Lytechinus pictus: one gene and its partner. The protein of the gene in region 2 interacts with the protein of the main gene of each other region in a pairwise test. Links are inferred from orthologs where the notes say so. Each region holds a gene or a part of one and is shown on either strand. Other genes may lie near its edges.

Region 1 (7,706 bases), on a different chromosome or scaffold from region 2:
TTACTACATTGGTTTAATAGTAAGTTCACATCTACAGTTGATGCAAGTGTGAGTTTGGGTTTTGCAGGTGTTTTTTCAAAGTTTTGGACTGACCTTTTAGATAAATTTGAAGTCATAGTGAACTTCCCCTTCAATCTGTTTACTTGAGAAGAATTAACAATAATTTTGATTTGTTTGTGACACTTGAACAGGTAAAAACCCTTTCTCGATATTACACAGTATAGAATGCTACTTGTACGTATTCAGTTCTTGCACCACTGTGTCAAGTTTGTCATTAATAATTCTAAATACTTTTCCCTGGCTTACTCTTTTTACAGTACCCATTCCTCCGTTTCTCAGGAAATATGCCATTAATATGAATCAAAAGCATTCCCACCAGCTTGCCACTAACACCACCAAAAGTAATCAATTAACTTGATTTGGAATTATGTGAGGGATTACGCAAAAAAAAATCATCCTGTTGGAATGTCAAGAATGTTGCTGAAATCGTAATATTTATGAAATATTTTCACCACAACAATACTCCTATGGATACACGAAGACATATTTTCTCAGTCAAGCATGTAATGGTTTTTTTCCCTGGCATTGTGTTATTCCAGCTGAAATGTTAAGCTGTTGTTAAGGACCGATCACTTTGAATGAAAAGAGGGATAGGAAGTAGTATTTGGTTTTAAGATAATTATTGTGGTAAAGTTATTAACTTTAAATAGTGCAATAGCTATCTTGTGAGAGGTCCTGTGTGCCAAAAAACGCTTGAAGGTAAAAGAAGATACTTCCAGCAAAAAAATATTTCATGAGAAAATATTTTAAATCAAGATTAATTGTCATCATTCTTTTACCATACATATCTACATCTGGCACATTAATGTACACTTACTTTTGAGAAATCATGAAATATTAGCTAAAAACCGATAATTCTGATGATCACTAATACAGGAAAGTGTATGTGTGACAGTGTATAAATATTGCTTGGAAAATTACCCAACATTTGATGGAATTCCATTCTTATTTTACTCATTTCTCATCAATTTCACATTTTTTTCAAGAGCCTTTTGCCACATATTTTTTAATTTATACACTGTTTACAAACACTTTGTTGGTAATTTTATTGGATTCTGTTTTGAGATCGTACCACAACTGGTATTTATCTTTAAGACATTTTTTTCAGAAGTTGCGAAGTTTTTCTTTATAGAATGACACTTCACTGAGACCCGTCAAAACACAATTATTGCAGATATTTGAAATATGTACCACATCCTCTATTCATATTTAACCATTTGTTTGGCATGTCATTTCACTCCAACATTATTAACAATGCTCTTCATTATGCATTCAAGCTCACAATCTGCAAGAAATGGGTAATATGCCAGTCGCCACGGCAACTGGTAAAGATCAACACCCAGGAAATTGACCTAATGAATTGCGCAAAAATTGCTTGGCAAATACAACAAGAATGAAGCTCGATTATGGCGAGATGAACTGGCCTTCTGTATTGAAATGACACACAAAGCTGTTTGGATTTGGACTATCTATAGAAATTGCAATAAAGGCAAACAATTTTTTGGCATACATAGAATTCCTGGACTATTCTCTACATTGAAATGGAAAGGAGAGGGGCTTATCAAGGGGAAGTACAGCGATGGCACTGCTTCGGGGCATATCAACAGGTCTGTAGGGGGCTAGATGGGGGCAGGGGATGGTGGATGGGACCCCCTTTTTTTACTCGATTGTCATCAGAATTTCTATTTCAGCCACTCTATAGATCCCAAATGTGACAAACTCTTTTTTAAAAATCATTCTGCTCTGGAATATTTGCACCAGGAGCCTGACCAAAAGCAGACCTGCCAACCAGTACGTTTTGGGCGTATTTAGTACGTTTTTGCAACCAAAATACGGCAGTACAAACATCGTAATTTATTGAGGAAAATCATCTCTTTATGTATGTCTCTATTTCATAAAACTTACACAAATATGGTTGTAAGATCAATGTAATTTCAGGTAATTTGGTCCTTTTTTTTTCAATCATTTTGTTAAAACCAGGGTGAGATTTACACATTGTTTAAATGTTTTTTTTTTTCATCTGCAAGAGCAGTGCGCATTTTAGCTTGCATGCAGCTTGAGCGCCGCGATGAGCGAGCACGCCACACATTTTATTATGAAATACACTTTTTTGGGGAAAAATACACTTTTTTTAATCACATAATACACTTTTTCATTACCAGAGGTTGGCAGGTCTGCAAAAGACCCATCCGCTTCCATTCCTGCTGGAATCCTGCAAGGTTTGTTTTTGCACTAATTCTAGCATCTATCATACTAGACAAAGCAACGGGGTATGTCACAGGAAAAGTGCTGCAAAAGACGCTTACCCCCTTCCCGAATGGGATTCCCGGTAAAGGACTTATGGTATTCCCCCACCCACACTCGCATACACACACTTATGTGTGCCACAGCAGAGAAAGAAATTAGAGTTGGTAGTTCAATAACTTTTTAGGTTTCATTTGAAACTTTGAAAGAGCCCCTAGATCTTTTTATGGAGATTAAGGGATGGCCAGGCATGATTGTCTTCTGGAAGCCTTTCTATCGACCACTGAGGGTCAGTTCCTTAAAATCTTCCATAATAAAAAATTTTCACTAAAAGCCAAGCTACTGTCATAACTCATTTTCATTTGCTGAAGAGTAAATTTGTTATAGAAATTGTGGATTTGTGATATTAAAGGTAAATTCCAGTTCTGGTAACGATCTCAAAATGACTTTTTACGGAATCTAATATAATGACCACCCAAGTGTCTGTTTGTATGAATAAAAAATATGTGCCAAAGGATTCTGGAAGAAATTGTGTAATTGCTGAGAAATAAGCAAAATAAGCGCGGATTCGGTCACTTCCGTCGGGTCTTTATTCCAGCAATAATAATACACTGTCCCACGTGTGCCTATCTGTGTTGGCGATCTTCAGTGTGATCGTATTTCAGCTTAGATTTTATGATTTCACAAAGTTCAGTTTATGTAACTGTACCATATCTAGATCCACGATGATATAGTCATCCTTAACCTTGGTTTTACAGACTTTCTCACGAAATTAGTGTTTTACTGCAACTACTGTAATTTAGCTTTAAAGTATTTATGCAACAGATATGACCCAGATCCATATTGTATACATGCCTAGAGGCTGATCCTAGAAACAATATCTTCAATTTATTGTACATCGTACATGTAGTCAATGTAATTGTTTCTAGAAAAATGTTACAGTCCGTTGCTGTGATTTGTGTTCGGGATCTCAGGTTCCAGTACACTTCTTTTGCGTATTACAATTGATTATTCATATTCACACCTCTGTATCATTAGCCGACCCATCCAATCTCCTTGTTTTTATTCCAAGATTTAAAACAAAACCCCCCCCCAAAAAAAAAAAAATAACTAAAGAATTGAAAATGATCAACTGGGTGAGATCCCCTGAATGTGTGCCCAACCCAGAGCCTCCCTACATGGTTTCATGAACAATTCTTTGAAAAATAGAGAAACGCAACCTTGTCATTTTATACAAAAGCGCTTTATGAATTGTTATGAAATTCCTTGACACGGTGCATTGGTTATTCCATAATACACCCATGGATGAACCAGTGCTTAGGAATGGCAAAGCGTATTAATAGCCATATTGTGAAGGATCCCATGTGACCTATTGCTGTTTAGAAGTATGATTTGGGTCTGTTCATACTTTTTAGTGAATCGTAATAATAACGATAATAATCATAGGTCCAAATAGGGCACACATGACTACTTCAGACCCCCATTCAAAATCACTGCTCATAAAAAATCATTAAAAAATCAATCCCTCGATTGATTTCATTTTAAATCACTGACATTAATCATGAGCTTGTGTTAATTTAGTACCGTACTTATAATTGATATTGACAATTTTGGGCAATCATTTGAATTAAAACAATCATTGCATTCTGGCAAGTAAATACTACGCAATCATTATTGCAATTTGAAGTCATTTGATGTTGTCAATCATTGTTTTTCATTTCAGTTTGGAATCCCTGTATTGGCAATCATTGTGTTTTAAAGTCATTTGATGTTGGCAATCATTGTTTTCAATTCCAATTTGGAATCCCTGTATTGGCAATCATTGTGTTTTGTACATGTAGGATTTGTTTGCCAAATATTGGCAATCATTGCATGTTTTCACCCATTTGATTTGGAAATCAAATTGCCAGTCATTTTCAAATATTTGCAATCATGAGTAATCTTTTGGGCAACCATTTGAATCAATACTGTCATTGATTTTGGCAGTCATAATGTAGGCAAAAAGTTGATACAGGCACAGGCAATGATTTCATTTAGGCAATCATTTCACAAATGCAATCATCACATTTTCATGTATGCCATCATTACAGATTTACATATCCTTCCGGATGTGGACGACATGCCATGCAATCAAAGTTTATTGTGGGAACACACCCTCACCATTGTGTTCTTTTAGAAAACGTCCTATTGAAACGTCATAGTCCAAGGTTCATTGGTCTTCTTTAGATATGGGGCGGTAAGAATATGGGCAAAGAACCAGAACTATTATATGCCCATTGCATTGATAGGTGTGTACATGGTCTTGTGCTGACTGCATTTGTGTATTATTATTACCTCCTAGAATAAAGTCATCAAGTCCTCCTGTGCGCTTCAAGTGAAATGCAGTAAATTGGATATTTTGGAATACCTTGCTACATTGTAGTTTCGGGGTTTGGAGAAAGAAATACAACAAAGATATAGACGTGTTTGTTCTGGTTTAATTTTGGATTTAGCCAGTCCCGCAGCCAAGTTGGTTTTAACTTTTTTAGTGCGGATTGCTGCTACATACCTTTGCTAGTTTCAGAAGTTGGACAAAACAATACTACGGAGATGTGGATGTGCTAGTGTCGGTTTAAGTTTGGATTTAATGATTTAGCCGAAGCAGGACATGGTTATAAAAACCTACTAGTTTCACTGCAGATTGATGCTTCATACAGTTGCAAGTAGTTTCAGGATACCACCGACTCTGGATATAGTTCCTGTTTAATTTGGATTTAATCATTAACCAAAGTGGCTGCAAAATACTTCTGTTTTGACTGCGGATTTTTCTTTGCCGACTTTAGTCCCACTTGGAAGTGACAGATGAAGGTATTGGGCTACTCCACTGTTAACCCTTCGACTGCTGGATTCTGTAATTCTCATAGGCTTTATACAGGGATCGCCCAGATCCAGTAGGCTACTGGATAATAAGATATAGGGGTTCAAAGCTACATGCAAAAATGCCTTACCAGAAAAAAAATTAACCAGAATTGTATGACCCCCCCCCTCCCACCCTGTGTGAGATACATTTGTACACCTTTTACTTCTATCTTTGATATCATGAAAACAACATTCTTCTCAGTTTGATCAATAACCGATACCAAACACATTTGTTTTTGCAGGGGGGGGGGGCAGGGGGAGGATGGGGGCGGAAGAGCTTGGGAATGAGAGAGCGGGAGTATCTTGGTTTTTATTTTACTCGTAAATTCTGTATTGGCTCACATACTGTACATCATTAATTGTTTTTATTCTATGTTATTGTTTACATTCAGTTGCTTTGCAATGCAATTCAACATCTATGTCTACAGATAATACTTGCCCTTTGGAATGTACAGGTACAATTTTATCATCTCTGATAACTTTTCATGTGTGTTTGCTTTTCAGTTCAGGACTACCTTTGATACTTACAGTACTATTTATCACTTGTGAACTATTTATGATAGTTGTTATTGCTGATACAATTTACAATTTTTTATATAGAATTCAACTCTGGATAATGCAGAATTCAATTCAATTCAGCATTTATTTCCATATTCATTAAAATGAACAAAATGAGAACAAAATTATACATACACAAAGGAGATATAAATAACATAAAACAAAGCATACATGTAGGTATCAACAGAACATAACTGAAACAAATAGTGGTGATGATAAAATTATGGTTGTCACATAATTATAAAAACATAGATGAACAAAATAATTGGGCATGCACAAAAAACAATAAAAAGGCTTGTTAAAATGCACATACCCAAGAATTGCATCCCCTCACAATAAAATACCATCATTCACAGGGTTCCCACAGTCATGGAAAATCCTGGAAAGATTTGTGGTCATGGAAAGTCAGGGAAGTTTGAAAATTTGTGAAAGGAGTTGTAGAGCAGGAGCCGGCGAGAAAACCCAACTTTCAGGCAGGTTGACTGGCTGTCTTTAGGAGTATGTACCTCTATTCACTTTTCTTAGTCATTTCTATGACTTTCCACGTGATGTACCAAAGACCACTTTCGACATTTTTTGTTAGTCGTCTACTAGTCAACCTTTTTTTATTTCATATTCATATCATTTCCTCAGGTGGTTGATGAATCTTAGAATTTGAGATCGAGAGACACCGTAACGAAACCCACGATGCCGATTCCGACAGGAAGACAGAACCCGTACGTCCAGGAGTCCCCCTACGGACATCATGGGGGCCACCATCCACAGTGAGTATTCGTTTTCGTCGTTATGATTTGTGAATGTTCAGTTTGTCATTGCAATCCATAATACCCCCCCCTCCAAAAAAAATATATATATATAATAATTAAATAATAATAATAGTGATAATTATTATTATTATAATAATAAATAAAAAAATTATAATAGTATGATAAATATATAAATAAATTTATGAATAAATGAATAAAATAAATAAATATTAATAATAGAAATATAACATATAAATGATTGAAAAATAACTAAATAAATGAATGATTGAATAAACAAGTGAATATATGCAAATATGTACATCAGTGTAATAAAAGTAAATAAACAAAGGAAAATAAATGTATTGCTTTCATGAATCACTTTTTATTGATAAAAAGGGAAATCATTAAAATAAATGATCACTGAGTATTATACATGTAGTGCATCTGAATTTGTTTTCTGTGCGTGTATTCAAATCAACTTTTGTTTGGATTATGCCAGGGCCTCGTTGCATAAAAGTTACTATTATAGTAAATGTGCTTTCGAATGGTATCTTTCATGGAATCCTTGATTCTGATTGGCTGTCTAGCCTTATTACCATACCATCATGGTAGTGCCATTATGGTAAGTGCCATTATGGTAACTTTTATGCATTGGGGCCCAGATGGTATTCGTAACCCGTATGATAAGTTAGCAAATGACAGTACTCAGCATGGTGTAAATCATGTGACATACATGGAATATCAAAGTAACCTCAGACTGGATCTACAGTACACATATTAAGCCTTAATCTGATAGAATAATAATAATCCAAACATCTATGTAGCACTTTTTACGAAAATATCTCTGAGCGTTAAAGAGAATAGATAAAAAGAGAAGGAATTCCATCAATTAATTACAGTTTGCAAATTATGTGAGGAAACTGAGGAATGATGTTCGTAGTATTGAGATTGATGGTGATTTTTTAAAATTTTTTTCGTTAGAATGTATTGGACACATTAGGTTGGATTGTTGAAATTTATGATGCATGTTTGTGTCTGAAGGGGGCTTGAATTGTGGTTGAATTTTCTACTGGTAGTGAAAGTGAACGTGGGAAGAAAGAAATGAGTTAGATTGTATTTGTATCTCACCCCAAAATATTTGAAAGGATAGTATCGTGGATCATTGAATGCAGCAATCGATGCAATATTTCTGATCGTCTT
Region 2 (7,708 bases):
ATGTTTCTCCTTTTCCACACAACATTTTATGACCAAGGCTGGATTCCCCTTTAACACTGAATATGAATCTTTACCCAAAATGAATATTTGTGTCAAATTTTATGAGCACAGGCTGAAAACTGAGAAGTAGATTGATCCACAATGAGTTTTCCTGCATTTCTAGCTATCATATGTGGTTACCCTGGCAATGCACTTTCTGACAAATGCAAAAAAAAAAGGTTCTTGCACATCTTACCTCAAGGCCAATGTGTGAGCCAATTTCATGAAAATTGGTTCAAAACTGATGAAGTAGTTCAAATTGCAAGGTTTTTACCTAAATCTTGCCATATAATATGTTGTTACCATGGCAACACAATTTCTGAAACACACACAAAAAGTGCCTTGTACATCTTTACTTCAATACCAATGTGTGCCGAATTTCATGTGAATTGAATGAAAACTGATGAAGCAGTTTGAATTGTAAGTATTTTTCCAGTTTTCACCATATAATATGTTGTTACCATGGCAACAAGATTTCTGAAAGACACACAAAAATGTGTCTTAGACATCTTCACCTCAAGACCAATGTGTGTGCCAAATTTCATGAGAATCGGATGAAAACAGAGGAAGTAGTTCTAACTGCAAGATTGTTACCTTATTTTTGCCATAATACACTGTTACCATGGCAACACCAATTCCAAAACATGCAAAAATTTATTTTGCACATCTTTACCCCAAGACCAAAATATGTACATACACACCAACATTCAACCCCTCCACCAAGTTCTCCGCCACCCTTAGGCTTGTTTAGCATCTGCATTCAAATATATGGTGCATTGAGATGTGAGGACAAACAGAACATCTGTTCAAAAAGGGTCTGAATTCAAGAACTAAACCAATGCAAAATAATGCACTGCTATTGAGTTTTGCACTGGCGCTAGTCTATATATCAGACCAATTTAAACTCATAAATTCTGACATTTTCACCCATTTTTTCACTGTTCCTGCAGCCAGATTTTTTGGAGCATACCCCATTTTTAATTCTTATACATAAACAAAGGTCTGGAGAAAAAATCATGCTTTTGTCCACCGTGTCCACAAGTAGGGTATTTTTGACGCTAACAGACCGGACTATAATGACAAATACATTTACATGTCAACGCTAGTAATGTGTGAAGAACCATTCTTTTCCCCTTGTGTATCTGTTATCAACCCCCACCCCCAAAAAGAAATTCAAAAAGAAATTTTGATGAACAAAGAATGTCATTACACCCCAGCCTGTCTGTATAGAGCATGTCCCATTCAACTTAGGCATCCCCCTGTATATAGACACGTTTTCAATTGGTTATAAAGGGGATGTAACTTGGAGGATCATACGAAACAATGTTAATACTGTAAGGGGGAAAAAGAACAAACAGTTGTGACCTTTTTGAGCAGCCCACGTGTTGTGTCCCATAACACAAATTCCACCCTACCCCAACGGCACAATGCCTGCGCAGGTCTTGAGAATGGAAGAATAACAGCATTGCTTCTTCAACATAATTTCATTTATTGATTTCCATCATTTCAAGGGGTCGAGTTCTGTATGATCCCCGGCGCAACCTCCACCCTTTCAGAACCACCGTCGGTTCAGTAATAGGATGACAGGGAAAACGTTATCTCAAAGCCCCGTCGTTCGATTTTGTTCGCATTACGACTCACTCCCGTAGATTCAATTTTGGATTTGACGGGTCAGTTGAAATTCAATAACTGCTCCTGTGCTTTTGCCCCCTGCCATGGGGGGAGATTTGCCCAGTGGTCATGCCCCATTCTTGCAAGATGCACGATTTTATTAAATGACAGTATCCTGAAGTTCTTACATGTAGGTGTAGTGCAGTGATGGGAGGAATGGAAGGTTTAGGTGTATCCAGAGAGAACTGTGCATGTTTTGTATCTGTTTGTGATGGAAATCACTTTTATTGTGAATGATGTTCTCTGCTATTTGCTGGTAAATGACTTGTGGGTTTCATGATTTGATTATTTTGTTATTCAATCAAAATATAATTATAAACTAATGTTTTGTAATTAATTTTATGTCATGAATACAGGCCTTAAATTTTGAACTTTTTTTTAGGGCAAGGCCACTTCCCAAAAGGGTACCTTATATATTTAAAGGACAAGTCCACCCCAACAAAAAGTTGATTTCATAAAAAGAGAAAAATCCAACAAGCAAAACACTGAAAACTTCATCAAAATTGGATGTAAAATAAGAAAGTTATGACATTCTAAAGTTTTGCTTGTTTTCACAAAACAGTTATATGCACATCCTGGGTGGTATGCAAATGAGGAGACTGATGACGTCATCCACTCACTATTTCTTTTGTATTCTATTACATGAAATATGAAATATTCTCATTTTCTCCTCATTGTCAAGTGAAACAACGCTTGATTCCTCCATGAACAGTTGAAACTAGCATTGCTTAAAACTATATGATTCAGTCGAGTTGGTCCCTATTGTCAAATCTATAAAAAATGAAATATTGTATAATTCAAACAATAAAAAACAAAAGAAATAGTGAGTGATGGACATCATTGACTGTCTCATTTGCATGTCACTGAGTTGTGCATATCACTGTTTTGTGAAAAATAAGTGAAACTTTAAAATGTCATAACTTTCTTATTTTACATCCGATTTTGATGAAATTTTCAGCGTTATGCTAGTTTGATTTTTCTCTAATTATTCAAATCAACATTTTTCTGGGGTGGACTTGACCTTTAGGTACAGTTATGGAAAGTTACAAAGGACCTCAAAATATTCAAGGCCACTGAAAGGGCCATTTAAAGCCTTGGACTGCTTTTTAAACAATTTATAATCTGCATGCCTAATCGATATCAAAACTAGGATTAATGAAAAGGGGTAGGGTTGGGAGGTTCTGACAACACCACCAAAAGCCTCTGTTAGTCCTGGCTGCAACAGCCCGCGTTAGTGCATGTACTGTATGCATTGAAATGTCCGTAATGTCTTACTCTAGGTACAGGTAATAAGAAGGGACAGCATCTATTGATTACTGTACAAGCTCTGGTGACGGAGAGGACAGTAATACGAGTGATTCTCGAGGCCCTTGATTGGGTTCTTGTTTCGGGAGGGTGCATATTCTCCGCCCAATAAGCAACAGATTTCTAGGAACATGGAAACCTAGACCCCATTCCCACCTTCATTCTTAAACCAGTTTTTTTAATAGTGGCAACCAGTTTAACGTGTAATGGGAATGCTCAAAGCAGTCTTGGAAGCGATCTTAAGTGGTCTTCAAAACCAGTTCGGAAATCCACCTTGCAATGTGGTCTTCAAGACCACTTTACCTTGTTAAACTGGTTAACCGGTAAGGACACAACTGGTTTGCTTAAATTGGGTGTGCGAATCAGTACATACGGTACAAACAAATGATGTTTAAATCCAACATTTTGGGGATTTCTCTTAATCAACAGATGGTAGTTTCACATAATAAATTAACCAACCTGATATGTTGGTTGAAACATTTCTTGGAGTGTGGATTAAGGGGTGCATAATGAAGAAATGGGGGAAAGGTCCTTCTGAGCGAACTGTAATAAATTTGAACTAAATTTATATATTTTGTAATTAAATTACTTAAGAATATATTTAAAAAATGAAAGAAACATGCAAAGGGAATGAATCTATGATTCCTATGGGTTCCAATCTTGGTCAGTCATACATGATGAAGGAATCCAACTTGAATTGTGTACTCATACTCGATACTCGGTATTGACAAAGGTCCCGTCTCTGTTTGCGCAGTTCTGATCCTGGAAAGCAAAGTTCAAACTGCACTGGGTCCGTGGTGTCAGAAAGATATATCAATGATATTCATGGAATAATTATTGATTTGTCTTACAAGGCTACATACATATGTGTCTGTGTTCCCCTAACAAGTGCAGACATACTTGCACATGCGAAGAATAGTTCTTGATTCATTCATATGCTGAGATAGTTTACCCACATGTGCCACATTAATAATTGATGTACATGTATACATGGTTATTTTGATTGCGCGATTAATATTTTATTAAATTGATACTCATGTTCTACATGTACATGTACATGTATGCAGGTCTGTGAGTCAAGCTTCTATATTATCCACTGTAAAAACTTATATTAAAAGTCAGTACTAATACATTGTGAAAGAAATGGAGATGATGGTATGGGCGATGCCATAGCTGAATGCTTGAGCAATACAATTTTCATTGTTATCAATGATACAGGTATAGTGGGTAGCCATGTGAAAAACTGATTACCAATATCAAAATGTTTAGTTGGAGGTGAATTAAAGGTGAAAATGGTGTGTGTCGCACGGGACTCATAAATGTCCCGTACGACGACGCAACATTTTATCCTCTAATTCACCCATCGACGACATTTTTCTGTTGGTTGTAATTTTTTTTTTTACATGACTTTCAAGTAGTACTTTATTACTACCACAAAACAAGTTGAAGTTCCTTATTTTTTTGGACAGCAGGTTGAAAAATGTCGTGAAAATGGCTGATTTTTCTAGCATGGAATCGCCCATTTGTGTGTCTCTTCTGTTCTGGGTATACAGTCATGATACTTTTTAACACTTCAACATTAAAATGTTCTTATTTTTCTCTCTTTTCTCTCATTTCCTTTTTTGTAGACCTGAAAAGAGAAGCATCAATATGTCACATGTTAAAGCATCCACACATTGTTGAATTATTGGAGACATACAGTTCAGATGGACTACTCTATATGGTTTTTGAATAGTAAGTATATCTTTCACGTTCTTTGGCAAGGCCTAAGTCCCATTTTTGCCACTCTCCACCCAGGTGGAGTATATATGTAACTTTTAATCTGAGAATAGATATCTTGCAAGCTCTAATAACTTCATACACTATACAGGTATATTTCAGGGCCAAGCAGAGTTTATAGCTGACGAGGCTATCCTGATTAAATAGAAATAAAAATAGAAATGAAATGAAATTAACAGTTCCTAATCATATTCTAATGGACACTGCCTATTTCATTAAATTTTTGAAAAGTTATCTGCCTTGACTTCAATTATTGATTGATTTTAATATCCAATGTGCATTTGAGATCATGTCATATGAAGAACTTAAAATGAAATATAAATATTACATATAAAGAATAATCAGGTACATGTAGGTCTATAAAATGATGAATTATCTAGCCATGGTTATCAAAGCATTACAAGTCACGCTTCATGATTTCATAGGAAGTCTGACAAGGAAGGTCTTAATGGGTCATTGACTTGCAAGCGTCATAGATCATGATTTGTAACTCTCGTGAATGAGTGCTAATAAAATAAGAAAAATGATTTAGTTCTCCTCAACTGGTCCCCCGTGAATACATGTAGGTGTAATGACAAATATGAGGATTTATCAACGTATGTAAATCATTCATGTAATTTGTCGTCTCTTTTGTATTATGTATCATTATATGCAGTATAGTTGATGCTCAATTTCTGTATGATTCTTAGCATCTCAGTGTAAAGAAAACAGATGATATATGCACTATACATGTACACACCTTTTTTCTATCATTTCAAATGGACTGCTTTCCGTGAGAAGGGGATTTATTCTATCCCCAAATATGACGCTGCAGTCACACCCATAAAACTGACTCTCAGCCGACCGATCGTATCTCATTGGAAATAACGTAACAGCTTTGATCACTCTGTAGTCGGTTTCACCGGTGTGTCTGTAGCAGTAGTGAGGTTCAAGTTGGTGAGGTTTACTTCATGCAAGACCAAGATGGGATTGCCTACGAGCGATGTCCATTGATGGGAGAGAATTCCTTGTAGAAGAAAAAAACTATCATGCTATTTTTAGCCGTGGATGTTTAGGCCAGGCATTCTATAGAGTGATGTGCGTGCGTGTTTCCATCAATTTATTCGATTGAGAGGATGCCTGCATCTTTTGTTTAGGGGGGTTGGTGACAGTTCCGAGGGCTAGAATTTAGCTTATTCTTTCAAGATGTTTCATATTTTTTACTTTGCTCAGTAATCTTAAATGTATGTTCAGCCTTTGAGAAATGGGCATATCTATTGTTATTAGAATTAGAAATGAACAAAATACGTTTTTCAAATTCTGGGAGAACTTTTTATCAATGTATTGTGTTTGAAGCTATGCATGTTTCAAATAGATGAAACTATATTTTTATTGATGTTGCTTATTGACCATTTTGTCTTATCAATAGCTTAGAGAAATTGGATGAGGGATTTGGTCGACTCCGCCCTCAAACTGTTCAAAAGAGCCCTTGCTAAATCCCCATTCATGACAATGCAGAATGTTGCAGTAGGTTACAAAAAGTAGATTAAAAAATATATCTTCAATACATGTATATATTTATTTTAACTTTTTATATAAAATGCAATTTGAGTAAATAATCATTGGGACTTTACAAAAAAAAAAGTATCTGGAAACCATTTCCACGCATGGCTTGTCAGTACAAATTGTACGAACTTGTTTTACCATGCAGAATACCCTCATTTCATCATATAAAAATTCATGTCTGTTATTCCTTTCAATTATTTACAATTCTACAACCCTCTTTTTCACAGTCTGTTTTGACAAAGTAGATTTTGGATCAATAAAATATAGATTTCACCACTCCTCCATTTCTGACAGCATGTATGTAGTCTGCCTTCCAGGCAAAACTGTATTCAAGAAAGGGGAAGAAATATAATGTGGATATATGTCTTTCCATGTTATTGGAATCGTAAGAGCCCGTCTTCATAATCTGGAAATGGCTTTAATAAATTCTTTTAATTGTATTGATTTTTTTGTTGGTAAAATGAGATTTGTGTTTAGTATGTAGGCCTATTCCATTCCTACAGTGTACACATTGAGTAGGAGCTAGTTGTTGATGCACTAAATTTTTTAATACTGCATGTACAGTACAAGAAATTCAACTTGTCTGAAAGGCACGCTACATGTATTTATTCCCATGAGTGGTGAATTATGCATATAATGATTCGCTTTGATGCAACTAGCTATGCATGCTGCAGTGATGAGAGGACAAACGTATCAGCTTGATAATATTTCAGTCTTAGTTTGCATTAAAAATGTCATGTAATATTTGTTTTCCTTGAATTTGCATTGTACTTGACTCAAGTAGAATCCCCTGCTATGAATAGCAGTATACTAAAATGAAAATATAATACATGTACAAAAATATTTTCATTCACTAATCAACATTTTCTTTCTCTTTTTATTCCTCTCTGCTATATTTCTTCCTTCATATATTTTTCCTCATCTCTCTCATAATCTTCCCCCCCCCCAATTCATAAAAAACTTTGCTTCTGCCCCTCTCGCTCTTTTCTTCACTTTCGTGTTTGTTTATGCTCTCTCTTTGATGTTCTACCTGTTTTCTCTCTTTCTCTCCCCTCCTCTTTCACCCTCCTTTCTTCCATTCCCCTTCTATCTCTCCCGTTCTCTTTCTCTCTTCGTTCTTTCCCTATCTCTCCTTTTCCTTCTTGCTCTCACCCTCCTATTACCCTGTGCAGTATGGAAGGAGCAGACCTGTGTTTTGAGATTGTCAAAAGAGCGAATGCAGGCTTCGTCTACAGTGAAGCAGTATCAAGGTAAGTAACTTAATATTCATACCCCTTTCACACTGACCATTCTGGGGATACCCAGATGTTACCTGGATGAAAAATGAAAAATTCCTCCGGACTGCCGTTCGGACCCTTAGACCCTCTAG

The links.
Region 1: the proteins of peripheral plasma membrane protein CASK-like (region 2) and epidermal growth factor receptor kinase substrate 8-like protein 2 interact in a two-hybrid assay, tested with the Caenorhabditis elegans proteins (4 studies listed by BioGRID). The link is inferred for Lytechinus pictus from reciprocal best matches to the Caenorhabditis elegans genes lin-2 and eps-8.

The regions. Positions count from the first base shown.
Region 1 is NC_087250.1:9,625,275-9,632,980, forward strand, and holds the start of epidermal growth factor receptor kinase substrate 8-like protein 2, read left to right. Parts: upstream 1-4,571; 5' UTR 4,572-5,151; intron 5,152-6,393; 5' UTR 6,394-6,447; coding exon 6,448-6,524; intron 6,525-7,706.
Region 2 is NC_087260.1:13,511,919-13,519,626, forward strand, and holds the start of peripheral plasma membrane protein CASK-like, read left to right. Parts: upstream 1-4,644; 5' UTR 4,645-4,672; coding exon 4,673-4,749; intron 4,750-7,511; coding exon 7,512-7,589; intron 7,590-7,708. UniProt on the Caenorhabditis elegans protein: May play a structural role in the induction of the vulva. May be required for the localization of signal transduction molecules (such as let-23 receptor) to either the basal membrane domain or the cell junctions.